Linked DNA regions of Drosophila melanogaster. The protein of the gene in region 2 purifies or fractionates together with the protein of the main gene of each other region. This does not show direct contact. Each region holds a gene or a part of one and is shown on either strand. Other genes may lie near its edges.

Region 1 (7,983 bases), on a different chromosome or scaffold from region 2:
TTGAACAACATTGAAGCCGGCAGCCGGACAACTGTCCTGCGCACTCCATTAGTCCTCAAGCTGGCCACGCTAAGCGTAAAGTACTTCTTTGTGGGCTTAACCGAGAAGAGTAAGCGCAATAGTTGTTCCTTAGCCTTGCCTCAATATATTAACCATATCTCATTCTAGCTGTGATCCGTCGAGCAGCGGCTTCGCATCGCTCCTACACGCTGTTGCAGAGGCAGTGTTCCGCCCGGAAAATCGCGAGAACCGTCTGCCTGCGCGAGCTGGTGGAGCGCGCGCTCTTTTATCACGGTCACTTGCTTGGTCAGCTGGAGGTGTATCAGCTCGATGAGCTTGAGATACCCGAGCACGAACACCTCATCCTGCAGAATCTGCACACCAGCTCTGGCGCCAACTCGAATCGCTCCGTGCTGCATTCCGGTATTATAGGCAGAGGTCTGCGACCAGTGCTGCCCCCCAGCGAGCGGAACTGCGATGCGGAGAAGCAGGCGCTGTATCTTAAGGCATTGAATGCATGCTGCGCCGATCTGGAGAAGCCCAACAACGTGGAGGGCTACTCGCTGGTCTCGCTGCTGCTGGTCGAGCTGGTCTCCACGGATGTCATGTACAACGGCCTGCCCTTTCCGGATGAGGAGTTCACCAGGGTCACAATGGAGCGGGACATGCTAATCAGGAGAGCGTTCATCAACTCCCCAGTGCTGTGGGCTGTTTTGGGACTGATCGCCGGTCATAGGCCGGCGCTTTGCTATTCCTCCGTGCTACTGCGCGCACTGTGCGCCACCTGCTTGCATCACTGGCGGGGCAAGAATGGTGAGCTTGTCACTTTACTTGCTTATTTTCTATAAAGGTGCCTAATCATATTATACGTTTGCAGTCAATCGATTCCAGCCCACTGCTGCGAACGATGAGCTGATGCTGTGCACCAAGAAGATGCTGCAACTGCTGGCTATGAGCCAACTAATTCCACCTCCACTCACCAATCTGCATCTCATCATCGAGCACTTTGAATCGGCAGAGGTAGATCCATTATTTGCCCAAACTGTGTAGTAGCACCAACTAATGTATGACATTTCCAGATTGCCCTGCTGCTGCGCGAGTGCATCTGGAACTATCTTAAAGATCACGTGCCCTCGCCGGCGCTGTTTCACGTGGACAACAACGGGCTGCACTGGCGCAACACGAATACACAGCTGGCCAAGGTGCCGCCGCAATATGTGGACCCGTTGCGCCACCTAATGCAGCGTAAGCTGTCCACCCTGGGCCCCCACTACCATCAGATGTTCATCATGGGCGAGCTGATGGAGGGCGACTCAGAGCCAGATCCGACGGCCCGGCTGCAGATCGTTGAAATAGATTAAGCAAACGTAGTTAGCTAGCCTAATGTTGTAGTGTGAGCATGAGCGTGTGTGCATGGAATAATGGAGCGTCTGCGAGTGTTGAGTGTGGAATTTGGAATGTGCGAAATGTGCGAACTAAATGCAGTGTTTGTATTTTGATATTCAATGGGTTCTTTTATTTTCGTTTCATTGGTTTGTAAAAATTAAAATCTCAACCTAGGCCTTGCAAATACTGTCCAGCAGTTATTGTACCGACGGCGCCTGAAAATCGCATCATTCGTCGTGTGTAGTTTAGAATATAACGAAGCCAACAAACAATTTCACTTGAACATATTTCTTTATGTGTGCGACGCACCAATGGGCACCGTCTCCTCCGGCAATCCTCGGCTGCCTTCAGTACATCATAATATATTAACGACTAATTTACGCATTCATTTGTTTCATATAATACACAGTATTGTCACATGGATATATAGCTTTCGTGTCGCTCCCATAGCTCCCCAATTCCACAGCCAACTCCGCTGATGCGGGCTGTTGCTGCTGTTGATGCGACCGCTGCTGCTCCTGCTGCTCGGGCGGTACGAGGTTGCGCCTGAATTTCCTACATGATTCTATGGTTACAAATACTTGGCGAATGTAGGACAACAGAATAAAAACGGGAAAACAAAACCAAAAAGTTGCTCACAATTTGTTAACAAAGTTATTCCTTTCGATAAATCTTAGCATCTATGTTTAGTGGAGGCATCTAAGGCGCCTACGAAGTTCGGCAGTGGCTCAGCTTGCGCACGGAGATGCAGGACGTCAGCTTCTTGGCGCGCCTCTTCAGTGCCGATCCCTTCTTCTTGACGGGCGCCTCCTCTCTGCTACCGTTGCCCAGCGAATTGCTGGCGGCTGCGGCACTTGTGGAGGGCGGTTCGTAGGTGTGGCAGGCGGCTAGGGCTGCCGCCGACTGTTTGGCCCGAATTTCGGAGGCAGCAGCTGCCGCTTGGCGGGCGAGCTCCTCTGTAAAGGTAACCATGAAAGTAGTTCACTCGGCATTAGATTGATGTTGGTACGTACGATTTACGTCGTGTTCTGTAAAGTAGACATCCTCCTCCTGGGTGCCGTAGTGGTAAGCTTCCAAGTAAGGTATCACCGTGGAGTTGCGGTATTTGTCACCCTTCAGGGGGGGAATGGGTATCGGTGGGCCGGTCTTAACCGGTGCGGATCGGAACCAACTAAAAGCAGATTATAACAATCAGTTATCATGAAGTGCAATCAAGGAATATTCCTACTTACGTGTCGTGGCGTATTTCCTGCAGAGAGAGGCGTTTACTGGGATCAGCCTGAAGCATGCCGAGAATCAGGTTGGCAAAGTCCGCGTCCATTTCGTATAGCCACGCGGGCGCCTCCCACTGACCTCGCCCGATGTTCTCCAGCAGTCGGTAGATATTGTCGCCCTCGAAGGGATACTGTCCAGTGGCCAAATTGTAGCTGCAAATCCGTTAGATTAGTACAGTATATACATTTAATACATGATATTATACAAGGAAGGCTTACAGAGTCACTCCGCTGGACCAGATGTCCACCTTGAAGCCGGCGAACGTCTCGTGTCCGTTGGCAATCTCCGGTGGCTGGAAGGCCGGAGAACCTTGGCCCGTCGTGCATGTGTCGTCAGGTGCGAACAGATCCAGTTGCTCCGCCACACCGAAGTCGGATATCTTCAGCGTTTGATCCAGGGAGAGCAGCAGGTTGCCTGGCTTGATATCCTTGTGGATGACCCGGCAGCTGTGCAAGTACTCCAGGCCGTCGACTAGCTGTTTGAAGTAACCGTGCGCCTGAAACAGCGGCATCCGCTTGTCTGGCTGATAGTCAATCATCTCCTGCAGCCCGCCGACACAGTACTCCATGACCAAGTACATTTTCTGCTTCTCCTCGTTGTACAAAACATCGACCAGCTCCACGACATGTCGATGCTTCAGCTGCTTCAGCAAGGCGATCTCGCGCGTTACGTTCTGTTCGCCGTTGGGAATCCGGCGCAACTTCCGCTTAGTCAGGATCTTGACGGCCAGGCGGCACAGGTTCTCCGAGTTCATGGCCTCCTTCACCTTGCCGTACGATCCCTCGCCGAGAACATCGCCCATTATGTACTTGCCCACCATCTTAATGCTCTTCTTTTTCTGCTGATAGATGATGTCCTGGCTGTCGACGCGATTGAAGAACATATTACCCATGTCCAGCGTCACGCGATCGAGCGTCTCGATCTCGTCGTCGTCCAGCCACGTGACTTGCGGATGTGGCTGGTCATCGAGCAGCAGTTCATCCGGATTGTAGAAGCCAACGCCCGCGCCCGCATCATCCGCTTGGGCGGTGTCTTCTTTGAGCTCCACAAAAGCGTCGTCGTCCAGATCGGAGGCGACGTCATAGTGAAAGTTCTTATTGGCCAGCAGTACGGTCATCTCGTCCTCAACAGGATCCGGCTCCTCCTCCTCCACCTTGTGCTGGGCCCCTCCGCCCGTGGGATGATGTAGATGATGATGGTGTGCTGCCTTGACCTGTGCCTCCATGGTGGTCACAGTCATCTGGCCTGTTGCTCCTGCCCCTCCTGCTTCTGCTCCACCGGCTGCTTTACCTCCGACTGGCCGAGAGCTAGAACATTGCATAAACCTCCGCGGAGCCCCAATGATCACATATCGCAGGTGGCAGCCCCACTCCGGCGGATGGGAGTGGACGGTGTGGTCCCTGTGTTGCCTGTGGCTGCAAAACGTTTGGTTAGTTCATGGCTACACCTAATCCTCACCAGGCACACACGCGCTTTTATCGCTCACCTCTCGAAATACCTTTATTTTTGTAATCAATTCGCACACACTCGAATTGATTGCCGTGCGATTTTTCGAGGTCCCTCGTCGCCCGTCGTCTATTCTGCGATGTCCGCTGGAAAGGCGTTCCCCCCTTTCGTTTCACCGTCGTGCGATCTGTTTCTCATAGAAATTTGTGAATTCCTGTGTTTACTCTCGCCGTTCAATTTGTTCTTTTCCCCTTCCGAAAAATTGTTTAACAATTAGTTTTTGGCCAAAGTAAGTTCGCCGCAATACGGTCACACTGGTCGCGGGCAACCAGGGCTGCACGAGCACTGGTTGTTGTTGCTACTGTCGCTGCTGAAAAAAAAAAACATTAACGAAAAATAATAAATTTGTATTTTTCGGGACGAACGCTGGAATAACTCGAATCGAAGTGGAAGTCATGGCCGCTGGGACGACGACCAAGGAGCGCCTGGAGCGTCTGATTAACGCTAAAAAGCAGCTGGAGGCGCAGATCAACAGAAACGGACAGATCCTGGCCGCCGTAAGTAAATTCGCTTGCTCATCCGGGGATACCCTGCATCCGGGATAGGGTATGCACACTGTGGCAAGCTGTTGGTGACGCACCACCGTGGATATTCATGATCGCAGGTTCTTCAACTTGGACGGACCGCCAAGCCAAATGTTGATATATTCAATACCCTACTGTTGGTTAGGGTATGTCCACTTGGGCAAGCATTACAGCATTATCCTATGCTTTGGTGTAGGGTATATACACAATTGTATTTTGAGTACATTCTTTTGTTTATGCTGTATAGCATTGATAATGATATCTTCCTTCCAGAACGACAATGTGGGCATGAGTGGACCACTGGTGGACGCCGAGGGTTTTCCGCGCAACGACATCGACGTTTACCAGGTGCGCCTGGCGCGACAGACGATCATCTGCCTGCAGAACGACCACAAGGAGCTGATGAACCAGATCCAGACGCTGCTCAACCAATATCACAGCGAGATTGCCACCACAGATCCGGAGCTGGTGAACCGCGCCTCCGCTTTGGACCTGGACAGCGACCGTTCACCCGGTGGCGCTAATATCACGGATCTTGCTCCTGCACGCGCCATCGTGGTGGTCAATCTGGTCAGTCCCGATTCGCCCGCCGAAAGAGCTGTGAGTGAATGTAGTAAACAAGCGAAGATCACAGCATTGAGATGGGCCATCTTTACCATTTAAGGGTCTCTGTGCCGGCGATGCCATCCTCCGCTTTGGCTCCATCAATAGCGGCAACTTCAAGGGAGATCTCGCCCAGATTGGCGAGCTGGTGCGCAACATGCAGAGCCAGAATGTCCAGCTGAAAGTGAAGCGCGGCGAGCAGCAGTTGGACCTCATCCTGGTGCCGAAAACGTGGAGTGGACGCGGTCTCCTGGGCTGCAACATCGTCCTGCCGCCCGAGGCGATGGATCACTGATGTAGCTTTGTGTTTAAGCTTTTTTCGAGTTGCCTGTGCACTCCTGCCCTGCACTTTAGTTATCAGCCCATCTCTGCCAGGCCGACGAACATGGTTGCTCCAAATTGTGAAAATTGATTTTTGGACGCGATTTCAGGGCAATTTCAGCTGGAGTCATCTCGCTGACTGACAGCCGGGTCAGTGGGCCAAGGAGCAGCAGTGGAGTGACCCAAGGTGCACAGGTGACAGGCAAAAGGATGATATTGTGATTCGGTGGATTCTGTCGACATGACCGATTTTTTTTGCATTTAATTTTCATTCAATATGAAATGATGCGTAACAAAATGATGAGGCGGTTTTACTAACAAATAAGTTTTTATAGCGCTTTTACTGGTAAATAAAGAAGGATATATAATTAAAAATATAAAAAACAAATTTGGAAATTATTATCTAAAAGCATAAACGTTTTTGCAGAAGACTATGGTTTATTCTTCTTATGAACATTTCAATTTAACAGAGAAACAAATTCTAAAGAAATGTTCGATTTTAAAAGTTCTGTTTTTGAACATCCAGGTACTAGCCAAGTTTTCAACCAATGCTCAAGCGCTTAGTCAGGGCACAATGGCTTTAAAACTGTACTCCTTCTTAAGATAAAATTATTTATATATCTGACGTGAGCAATTTAATTGAAAGAGTGTATTGTTAATCAATTGGAATAATAGTTTTTATGAGATGGCAAAGTCATTTTATTTGTTTCGTTTTTTATATCAGGTTTTTTTTAAATTAAATGCAACAGTCTGCAGCCCAGACTCGAACCAAATTCCGTAACAGAATTCGCTTAACCGGTTAGGACACATGTTAGCTTAACAGTGAGAGAGATTTTCCGCGAAGAGAGCGAATTTGGCAGGACGAGCTTTCGCCCGAAAATCTATTTAAGCAACACGCAGCGTAAAAGTTTAAAACTTTTTTCACCCGCGCCGCAGCATCCGATTGCCACGATAAAAAAAAGGATAATTACAAATGCAGTGAAATTGTTGAAGCAAAGCGACTGGCGAATAACAATTCCAATTGCTTGCCAAAATATACAAAAATTATCCCCGCACCAGTTTGCTTGTTTTGTGCGCCGGAGCAAAGCTGCCGCAGCCGTCGAATCCGAATCGAGAGCATTACGGATGCGATTTCGAATCCGAATCCGAGTGGCGACAGGACGAAAGTGCGGCCCAATCGCCGTCAAATTACGCTAGTGAAAAAATCGTGGGGCGCCGCTGAATTTCTGTGCAATTAACGTGAGCGATTGAAAGGATCTGCCTGCTGCCAACAACGCGACCGATGAAAATTGCGAGCCGTTCGCGTTCGTCCTGTGCGGCGGAAAGGATGTGTATGTGTGCGGGCTTTATATAATGAAACACTTCCAATGCGTGGACCCAGCCAGCTCTCGTCCTTCTTTTCATCTTTTTTTTCGCGAACTGGAGTGGCAGGATAGTGTCACTGTCATTGCCAGTGCATGGGAATTGTGAGGGAATCTGCTTGGTGGTTGGGGCTACGAAAGCTGCGCGAAATAGCACAACAAACAGGCAGCAGCGGGGAAACTAACAAAAAAGTTAACTAAGGGCGGGCATCCTTTTCCTGTGTGTGTGTGTGTGTGTGGTGTGTGTGTCTGTGCGTCGCTGTGGGGCAAAGGAAAACCAACCCCCACAATCCGCACCGAAGGACCAAACATTTCGGCTGCTACTCTCGATGAATTAAAAAAAGCCTGTGTCTGCGCTGCGCTTGTGTGCGTGCGTACACTTCAACGCGCTTCGAGCCCCACACACACACACACACACACACACAAACACAGGGACACATTCACACACACACACACTTGAATAATTCAGAGACACTGCAATGCTGCCTCATTGTTCATCAATAAATTGGCGTTAGATGGCCACACACACTTACACTCGAAGAGAACTTCAAGGAGGAGCTTTCATTTTCAGTTTTCGGCGTCTCATTATCCCGCGTGCTAACTGAATTATTCAACAATTACAGCTGAGATTTCGCAGCCTCACACGTTGCCAAAAAGTGCCAGTTGTGCCAGTGTGTCCACAAGTCCTTACGCTCATTGGGCGAAGGACACATGCAAATGAAAAATTCATTTGCATGTTTGTGTGGTGGGCCAGTGTGTGTGTGTGTGTGCGTATGTGTGTGTGTTAGCTGAGATGAAAAGTACACACAGCGCCGGTCATCATGGTGGCACAACAATGAAGTTCAAGTTGATCCTTTACGCGTCGAAAAGGATCAGAAGTCCTTCGGCAGTTAAATGTACACATTGAAGAGCCATTTGTGGAGTTTCAATGCTGCAGAACATCATATCCTTGAAATATGTGCCTTAAAGTATGCTATTTTCCACAGAAAACATTTAGTTTCGAAGTT
Region 2 (8,744 bases):
TACGATCCCAGGGCGAAGAGGTAGTGGCTGGTGATGGACTCGGCCTCGCCGGTTCTGCTCACTAGGAACAGCTGCGGCAGAATGGCCACCGATTCCAAATAGATCGAGAATGTCCACAGCACTTCCATCACGGTAAACTCATGATTGATCACCAGCGAGAGCAGGGCGCACGGCACCAGCAGGAATTCGATGCGGAACGAATCGTGATTGTGGTCATAGGTGGCCTTAAACTTCACGTACATCAAATACACGGTGGCACCGGACGTGGCCAGGAACAACACCTTCATCACCGAGTTGTACAGGCTCACGTAGGTGGTGAACAGATCCAGGTAGCGCGTCAGATAGACCACGGCGAACAGGATCTGCGACTTGCCCGATATTCCGGCGCACGAGCGGGTCTTCCATATCTTCAGCAGCAGTATTATGATGGCAAACACATGCGACAGATCCCCAGCAAAGCGAAAGATATTCATCGTGATCTAATCCGCCGACTTGGCTACTTGGCTGCCCGGTTGGCTGTTTGATTGTTCTACTTCCTTTCGCTGCGGCTGCGTCACGGAACGCACGCCTATATGAAAATGGGAGTGTATACTATAGCAATAATGGCGGCATTCAGTGTTTCAACAGCTGCATACGTTACCAAAATGACTTTTCGCCTAATTTGCCAACGAGTAGAGATGTGAGGGCTTTGCCGCTTCGGAAAAAAACTTGTCAGAATGTCGGCATAAACAATGACGTGGCTGATGAATAAGAATAAGTTTGATAACATGGCCACTGCCTATCGATATCGATAAGTGCCGCCACATGATTTTTTTAATGAAAATTCGACCATCTCTAACGAAAAAAATTGAGAAAAAACATACTGATTCAAATTTTTTCTTTTTTCGTTTTTTATCATAAGATTTAAAAAAAATTTAATTTTTTTCTCTTCTTTTGCTAGGGATAGTCGAATGTTTGTTTAAAAAATCATGTGGATTATCAATAAAAAATTTATATTCGATAGGCTCGATTGAAAGACACCAGAAAATGCTGACCGCCGCACACGCCACTCGATTTATTCTTCATGCCTATCGAAAAAAGCCGTGGTGAGGTTCCGGCATCTGTATTTTATTTACAAGCGATAGAATTAACATAGAAATCAAATAAAATGGTAAGTAAAAACACTGTTTTAAGCATCTGACTGCAATGGTTAAGTTTTGTTTAGTTGTATTAATTCATAGATTCTTACTTTCGCGGTTGCGATTTCGTATTTACATAGGCATACATACATACAAACATGCATGCGAATAAATAAAACAATTTGTTTTGGCTAATTAACTATTTTATATTTGTTTAAAATTATGATTTTTAGTGATCTTCGATATTACGCTGAGATTTGCTATTTCAAACTCTGTGGTTTATTAAAATTTTTATAAATACCGGCTTTTTTAAAGGGTCGAAATGGTTTACAAAAGATGGCGCGACTTTTATGCATGCTATTGTATTTCACAATTAAATCCTTTGAATTCCTTTATTTCAGACGATCGGCAAGAACAACAAAATGATTCAGCACCTGAATTATCGGGTGCGAATCGTGCTGCAGGACTCGCGTACCTTCATCGGTACCTTCAAAGCCTTCGACAAACACATGAACTTGATCCTCGGCGACTGCGAGGAGTTCCGGAAGATTCGCTCGAAGAATTCCAAGGTGCCCGAGCGCGAGGAGAAGCGCGTGCTGGGCTTTGTATTGCTGCGCGGCGAGAACATAGTTTCACTGACGGTGGAGGGACCACCGCCGCCAGAGGAGGGCCTGCCCCGAGTTCCCATTCCGGGAGCAGCTCCTGGTCCGGGAATCGGTCGCGTGGCCGGACGCGGAATGCCTATCAACTTGTCCGCCGTGCCAGCGGGTCTCCAGGGTCCCGTGAGAGGTGTGGGCGGACCCGCCCAACAGCACATGGCTCCGATGGGACGAGGAGTGCCACGAGCACCGATGATGGGTGCACCGCCACCGGGCATGATTCCCGGCGGCATGCCCTCGATGCCAGGAAACATGGGACGCGGTGCTCCGCCACCGATGCGCGGACCGCCGCCCAGCATGATCCGTGGAGCACCACCACCGGGCAGGGGTGGCTATTAAGTATAAAGTACAATCTAATAAAAACTCATTTAGAAAACACCACTTAATCGATGGATTCGTGTATTTATGTGTTGAATGTAAGCATACGTACATACAATGATTATTGCTTTACATCAATTATATGAGAACCTAAGCAGCAGGGACTGGATTTGGTCGTTGCCAGCCACATCGTTCGTTAATTGGGTGTTCCAGTTAAGACCGAAACGCCTCGTGAATGATTATACCTTTGGTACGTGCGTGTGCGTACAGGATGTTTTATGCCCAGATGTTGGAGAGATCCCAGATCTTGATGAGCCTGTCCTGGCCCACTGTCAACAGGCGCTTTCTGTCCTCGTCCAGGTCCATGTAGACGATCGAATGCTTGGCGTCATTGAATGAAGCCAGCGAGGGGCGCTCGACTGTCTGAAGTTGTTTGTAGCACGGATCACAGGTACGCACATCAAACTCGAAGCCCATTATGGGTATGTTAATGCGATTGGTGGAACAGTTGTCGCACACGGCTTTGCCGCAGTGGCGACAATGATGCTGTCGTATTCCTGACAGTCAGAAATTACTTGTAAAACAAAGAGTAACTCAAGTGTAAGCTATTTATCTCACCCAGCTGCTTTTGATCCATCATTGAGCGGAAGTTCCAGAAGAAGGGCCTGGAGCAAAGCTGACAGTTGTTGGTATCCACCCAGCCAGGAACCTCTTTCCGCATTGCATTCATTTCCCAAAAAACCACTACTGAATCTTCGCCACAGCTTATCAGTTGTTGCGTGTGATTCGCGTACGACAGGGCGGAAACTTTGTTGCTACATAATCAGAAGTGCCGATTACTATCTTATTTTATGAATATTATTTAAGATTGGAGATACCTATGTCCCTGCAGCTCGTAAATGGTGCCACGTTTGCCACCAACATCCCAAACTAGCACGGACTGATCGCAAGCTCCGCTAAACAAGAGCTGAGGGCCTTCCACCCATTTGAGGCACCGGATTTCCGCTAAAAATTAACCAATTCGTATATAATTAGCTTACTAAATATCATTTGTAACTTGTTTACCCGAATGTCCATTGAAAGTGGTAATTAGTTGCACTCCCTGAACATCGCACCTTAGCATTGTTATCTGTCCAGCATGATCGCCCACAAAGGCATACTTGGCCAAAGCGTCGAACCTAAACGCAGATTATAATTAATTATATGTTGCTTATAGAATATTTCGCACAGTGCACACATTTATGCCAAAATTTTGTGTAGATAAAATGACTCAGTTGACACGTCATTAACAATAGAAGGTTCTCAAATTCTAAATGAATTCCATAGCCGTGAAGAATTGCAGTTTATTGCCGTGTCAAAGAAAGCAGTTTAATCCAATTAAATGACCCGCTTATCCCATATCCACTGTCGCACCCCCTTCCCCCTTTCACCATCCATTTATCATACTTACTGGAGAGCCGTGCATGGTGTCTCAAAGTTGTATCCGCCCACCCGTTTGCCGCTCTCCGTGCAATGATAGGCGAACTGCTTATCTTTGCCGGCGGAGAGTATCCACTTGTGGGTTTTCGAGAAGACCACGGCCATGACCCGCGCTTGATGGGACAAGTAATCCCGCAGGAAGGACAGGCGATTGCAGTCTTCGGATAGCGCGTACTGGGTGACCGTTCCGTTTTCCTGGCCGACGTACAGGTGCCGGGATTCCGAAACGTACTCGATGGCCGTGCAGCCGGAAGGCATATACTGGCAAATGCTAGGCCAATATTGACCAGAATCGCGTTTTAGCCAAACGCGAACGGTTCTATTGGGGAAAACATGAAAATGTCAGGCATACCATTTGTGTATATTTTTAATGGGCTACAGCTACGCACTTGTCATCGGAAACGCTAATTACGCCGTTTTCGCCCGGAATTAGGATCGCTGCGTTCACATCGTCGCTGCTGCCCTCCAGCTTACTCAGCAATTCCGGCTTTTTGGAGGTGTTAAAGCGATCATTGTTGGTCCGCTGAGCTGGTTTTATCTCGGCAGCCATATTATTTAAGGTGGATCCAGTCCGATGGTACGCCTACGCCCTATTTAACGCACTCGATGATAATGCGGTTATAAACAATCCGATTCTCGGACTGGGGAAGGTGAATGGAGATACGTGATTCACAATCAATTAACAAAACTGTGTTATTTTGTTTAACATTAAATATACTGAACTTTGTTGTTGGAAAGCTCGTCTAGATAGCGACGCCAAGTTTAGGAATGCTGCGGAATAGTGGAATCGATGAAATGAAAATAGAATCTTAATTGTTAGATATAGTTTTTGCGTATTATTGTATATTATTTTGCTATTAAAAATACTGAAGGTATTTCGTGTGATGTGTCGCAGCATTATGTATGCATATGCACGCACCACATTTTATAAACATACAAACGAGCATTTGAATCTTGAATCTCAGAAATCGCTTTATAAATGTATAGTCTTATGATTTTCATAATGGCATATCATATCTAATAAAACCTACGGACCACGCACAGTTATGTTTCCGGTTATCATGCTATTTAATTATTAATCACAAAATATTTGTTTATATTGTGTTAAGTTTTTAATACGTTAAAATTTATTATTACACATAAATAAATAATTTTATTATAAGTAGGGTTAACGCAAAATATAGCTAGTTAAGCAGATTAGATCATTGTGAGTGTTGCTCAGTGGAAACAGAGCTTTTCCAAAAATGTGCTTGGTGGAATTGAAGTATAATAAGGCGCTGTTGTATTTATTGTTTTTCAAAATCCTTGCCCGCCAATAGAGTAAAAAAGGAATGCAAAACATGTTGATAGTTTTAAAAATTATTCATAATAGCACTCAAACGAGTTGATCTGTCCAGCAAAACTAGTCTGAGCGGCCAGCTTACAAATGGAAGATAACAAGGAGCTGCAATGCTTAATATGCAAATATTCGGACACTGACGACCTGGTCTTTGGCGAATGGATGATTGTACGCAATTTGCAGGTGCACTATTTTTGCCTGGTAAGTGCGATTGTTGTGAAATGAAGAGAACTCCCGCTAATGTAAACTTCCTGATCCAATCCACCAGCTACTCTCAACGCATTTGCCGCAGCGCGGCGGAGATAGCAGTGGAATCCTGGGATTTCTGCTTCGCGATATCCGCGAGGAGGCAGCCGCCGCGGAGAAGAGGAAATGTTGGTACTGCAATAAGATTGGGGCCAGTTTGCAATGCGATCGTTGCCGGTCATTGTTTCACCTGAAGTGCGGCCTGGAGAATCGCGCCGTTTTCGAGTTCTGCGGCCAATACAAAAGCTACTGCTACAAATGCAGGCCGATGGATGACTACAAGCGACAGCTGCAGTCGAATCCGCCGAGGAACGCCACTTGCCCCATCTGCTTCAGTTCCATCTATAAGGTAGAGCTGCATTGCGTTGTGTACGGTGACTGCTGCCGCCTCGGATTCGCCCATAAGAAATGCATGCGTCAGTACGCTCTGACCTCCGGATATTACTTGCGTTGCATTTGGTGTCGTTCGGAACGTTTCAGGGATTCCATACGCCTGCAGTCGGTATTCGTGCCCGATCGCGATGCCACGTGGGAGAAGCAACGGAACGCCTATAGGGAGCTCCACGAGCGCAATCTGAAATGCGACCAGCCCAACTGCCTGTGCCCCAGTGGTAGAACTTATAATAGATTATCGTGGGTGATACTATGCTGCAGTTCTTGTGCCGCCACTTCGGCTCATCTTAAATGCTTGGTGGGCGCCCTGCGACTGCCGAAGAAGCGCGAGCGTACAGATTTCAAGTGCTCTATGTGCCTGGACGTGGAGAGGAGGATTGCTGAAGGACCGGCTCGCACAACAGAAGAAACCAATGCTGACGGCGACAACCAGGTGGATGGCTCTTTTTATGTGCAAAAATTGGGACCCGATGCTGCAACTCGATCCTTAACCCAGACTCCTGTTTTCTCCGAAGAAGACGAAAGCGAACGAAGTAGTAATATCACGGTTATATTCAGCCAACCGAAATCTAACGCAACAAGCGAGAGGTTATCCTTATCGCCGCCACAGGAGGAGATGATAGTGGAAATTCCTGATTCGCCAGAGGCGTCGCCAAAGACGTCCATCGATGAGAACCACTCGCCGCAGCCAATAGCAAGAAGGGACACATCCGACTCACCACAGCCAATAGCAGCAAGTGAGATCCCCGACTCACCGCAGCCAACAGCAGCAAGTGAGATCCCCGACTTACCGCAGACAACAGCAATAAACGTAAACCCTGAATTAACGCAGCAAACAGCATTAAACACGATTCCACACTCACCGCAGCCAGAAGCCAGCTTCTCAACGCAGCTAGTATCACAAACTTTCGATTGTCCACAGCCGCAGGAACAAGCTGTGGCGAAAGCTCCCAACTCACCGTCACTGCCGAAAGAGGATCCAAATACTTTACTTGTGCTAAAATCGGGCTTTCAATGCCCTGGCGAACCATTTTTCTACTTGGTTATCTACGAATTTGAGCACGGCACATGCATGGGTGAGTGCATTGGTACGTGTGTGCTGCGATTTAAAGAGGATGACCCGCGCATTCAGGACACCTCGCAGGCAGCTTTGGAACGCGTCAACATAACACCAGACGATGTATGGTGCCGCAGCGAGGACCGCGGCATCTTTGAGCATATCGAGAAGTTCCACGAATGGTACAGATCAGAGGGGTTCTCTTAAATATTGTTTAAAACAATTCTTAATGTTCTTAATGTTTTAAACAATTCTCTTGTGTGGGAATTAATTCGTCATAGAATTCTAGTCTCTTTATGCATATATTGTTTCGCATGATCATCCAAAAAAAAAAAAAAAACAAAAAAAAATTTCCTACCTCTGAAACCACTTTAAAAAGGTTTAATGATTGTTAAACTAGAGAAGCATGCAGTAAATAAATTGTGTTTTATGTTTTTGTATTTATAATTTAATTCTAACCTATTATTGGAGTACACATTGTTTCACTTCTCCATTGAAACCATATCTCGGCAAATAAAGAAGGCGGCTACCAGAGCTGCAGTTTGAGCCACTTCTGTACATCCTTTGGCCAATCTCTCCTCGATCTGAGCTAGCTTTACAATAAGCTTGTTCATGACCGACATAGGCAGCTCAACTGTTTGGAATACATATCAATAACTTGACTTGATGATAACTTGATAAAAACTTACGTCTCATAACAAACAAATGCAATTCTGTAATGATGTCTTCCAAAGCGAGACCTCTTGCGTACTTGGCACTTTCGACAGCTATGCAAAGAGAAGAAAGAATCATTAGTTTTGATCTTTCGCCATTTCAAATCGCATCATACTTTTGAAGGAGTCCTCCAAGCTACTGCCGGATAGCAAGGCCTTCAATATCTGTTCAATATCCTGCCTCAACGGATAGCCCACGCACATGTAGACGTTATCCTCGTTTACCGTATCAAATGCCATCACGGTACTCTGCAGGACGTTCAAGACCTTTCTCATATCACCTTTGGCCAGGGTCAGCAGTGCCCGCTTGCCGTCCTCAGTTATCTGAACGCTGATAGTTGATAGATTTTAGGTTAGTAATAAGCTATTTTATGCAGTTGAAAGACCTTACGCTTCGGCTTCGATGATTTTTTCCAGTCGCGGCATCATCTGATCCTGGGATAATGGAGCGAACCGAAAACGGGTGCAACGCGACTGCAGCGCCGGAATGATTTTGCTCAAATAATTGCAAATCACACAGAAGCGCACGTTGTCCGTATATTTCTCAATTATGCGGCGCAGGGCATTCTGGGCATCGTTGGTCATGGCATCGGCCTCGTCCAAAATGATCAGCTTAAAGGTGTCGCAGAAAATGGTGCGTGTGGACGCGAAGTTAAGGATTTGACCGCGCACAATCCCAATGCCTCGGTCATCCGAGGCATTCAGCTCCAGGACCATGGACTTAAACTGCTGAGGGGAATACAATTGGCGAGCGCAGGCCAGGATTGTACTCGTTTTTCCCGTGCCAGGTGGTCCGTAGAACAGCAAATGGGGCAGCTGCTTGCGGCTTATAAAGCGGGTTACTAGAAGTACACTTAAATGTGGTGGCTTTGTATGGCTAAACGCTCAGAATGCTCACTTGTTGATATTATTTCCTCGTGAGATATCAAATCATCGAGACCGCTTGGTCTGTACTTTTCCACCCTGAAGAAATGAAAATAGTATTACTTGTGGATTTCCAAGATCTAATTACAAGTTACCAAGGCATGCGCACTGCGGGTCCACTGGTTTCCGACATAACTATAATTTGATATATTGGTAGAAATTTAATACAATAAAATGCGCATGGAAGCGAGTTGCAAATGCGAATTACCGGTAAAAATCGATAGCTCGATGAATGTCAAGATAGCGGAAGAGTAAATGGTAATCGAAAACACTTGTTGGGGTCATTCGACTATCGATTTATTTTTATCACATGCAGGCTATCAAGTTCAAAATTTTACAAACGAATCTATTTACAAATATGTATTAAAAATAATATTATTTAACCACAAAAGAAAAGTCATTTTGTAAATTTCAATATAACGTTATACAGTTTATTGTTACATTGTCCTAATTACACTTTTTGAATTTTTCAATATTTTAATAAGGGTCACAATGTTA

What was found.
Region 1: the proteins of Wdfy2 (region 2) and Lkb1 purify together in Drosophila melanogaster (affinity purification with western blotting, with the first as the bait; one study listed by BioGRID). This does not show direct contact.

Annotation. Positions count from the first base shown.
Region 1 is NT_033777.3:13,673,109-13,681,091, reverse strand, and holds Lkb1 (Lkb1 kinase), read right to left. Parts: upstream 4,544-7,983; 5' UTR 4,148-4,543; intron 4,077-4,147; 5' UTR 3,983-4,076; coding exon 2,880-3,982; intron 2,814-2,879; coding exon 2,619-2,813; intron 2,558-2,618; coding exon 2,400-2,557; intron 2,343-2,399; coding exon 2,095-2,342; 3' UTR 2,026-2,094; exon of another isoform or gene 1,952-2,025; 3' UTR 1,662-1,951; downstream 1-1,661. Other genes in the region: omd (oocyte maintenance defects), read left to right, coding at 1-109, 169-813, 878-1,020, 1,080-1,361; CG9588 (uncharacterized protein), read left to right, coding at 4,563-4,664, 4,965-5,291, 5,356-5,589.
Region 2 is NT_033779.5:10,418,900-10,427,643, reverse strand, and holds Wdfy2 (WD repeat and FYVE domain containing 2), read right to left. Parts: upstream 4,354-8,744; 5' UTR 4,298-4,353; exon of another isoform or gene 4,216-4,297; 5' UTR 4,125-4,215; coding exon 3,964-4,124; intron 3,894-3,963; coding exon 3,546-3,893; intron 3,274-3,545; coding exon 3,161-3,273; intron 3,101-3,160; coding exon 2,974-3,100; intron 2,911-2,973; coding exon 2,714-2,910; intron 2,653-2,713; coding exon 2,372-2,652; 3' UTR 2,162-2,371; downstream 1-2,161. Other genes in the region: KdelR (KDEL receptor), read right to left, coding at 1-473; small ribonucleoprotein particle protein SmB, read left to right, coding at 1,148-1,150, 1,520-2,116; pie (pineapple eye), read left to right, coding at 5,001-5,114, 5,182-6,816; RfC3 (replication factor C subunit 3), read right to left, coding at 7,092-7,243, 7,299-7,376, 7,439-7,653, 7,714-8,164, 8,221-8,285, 8,342-8,379.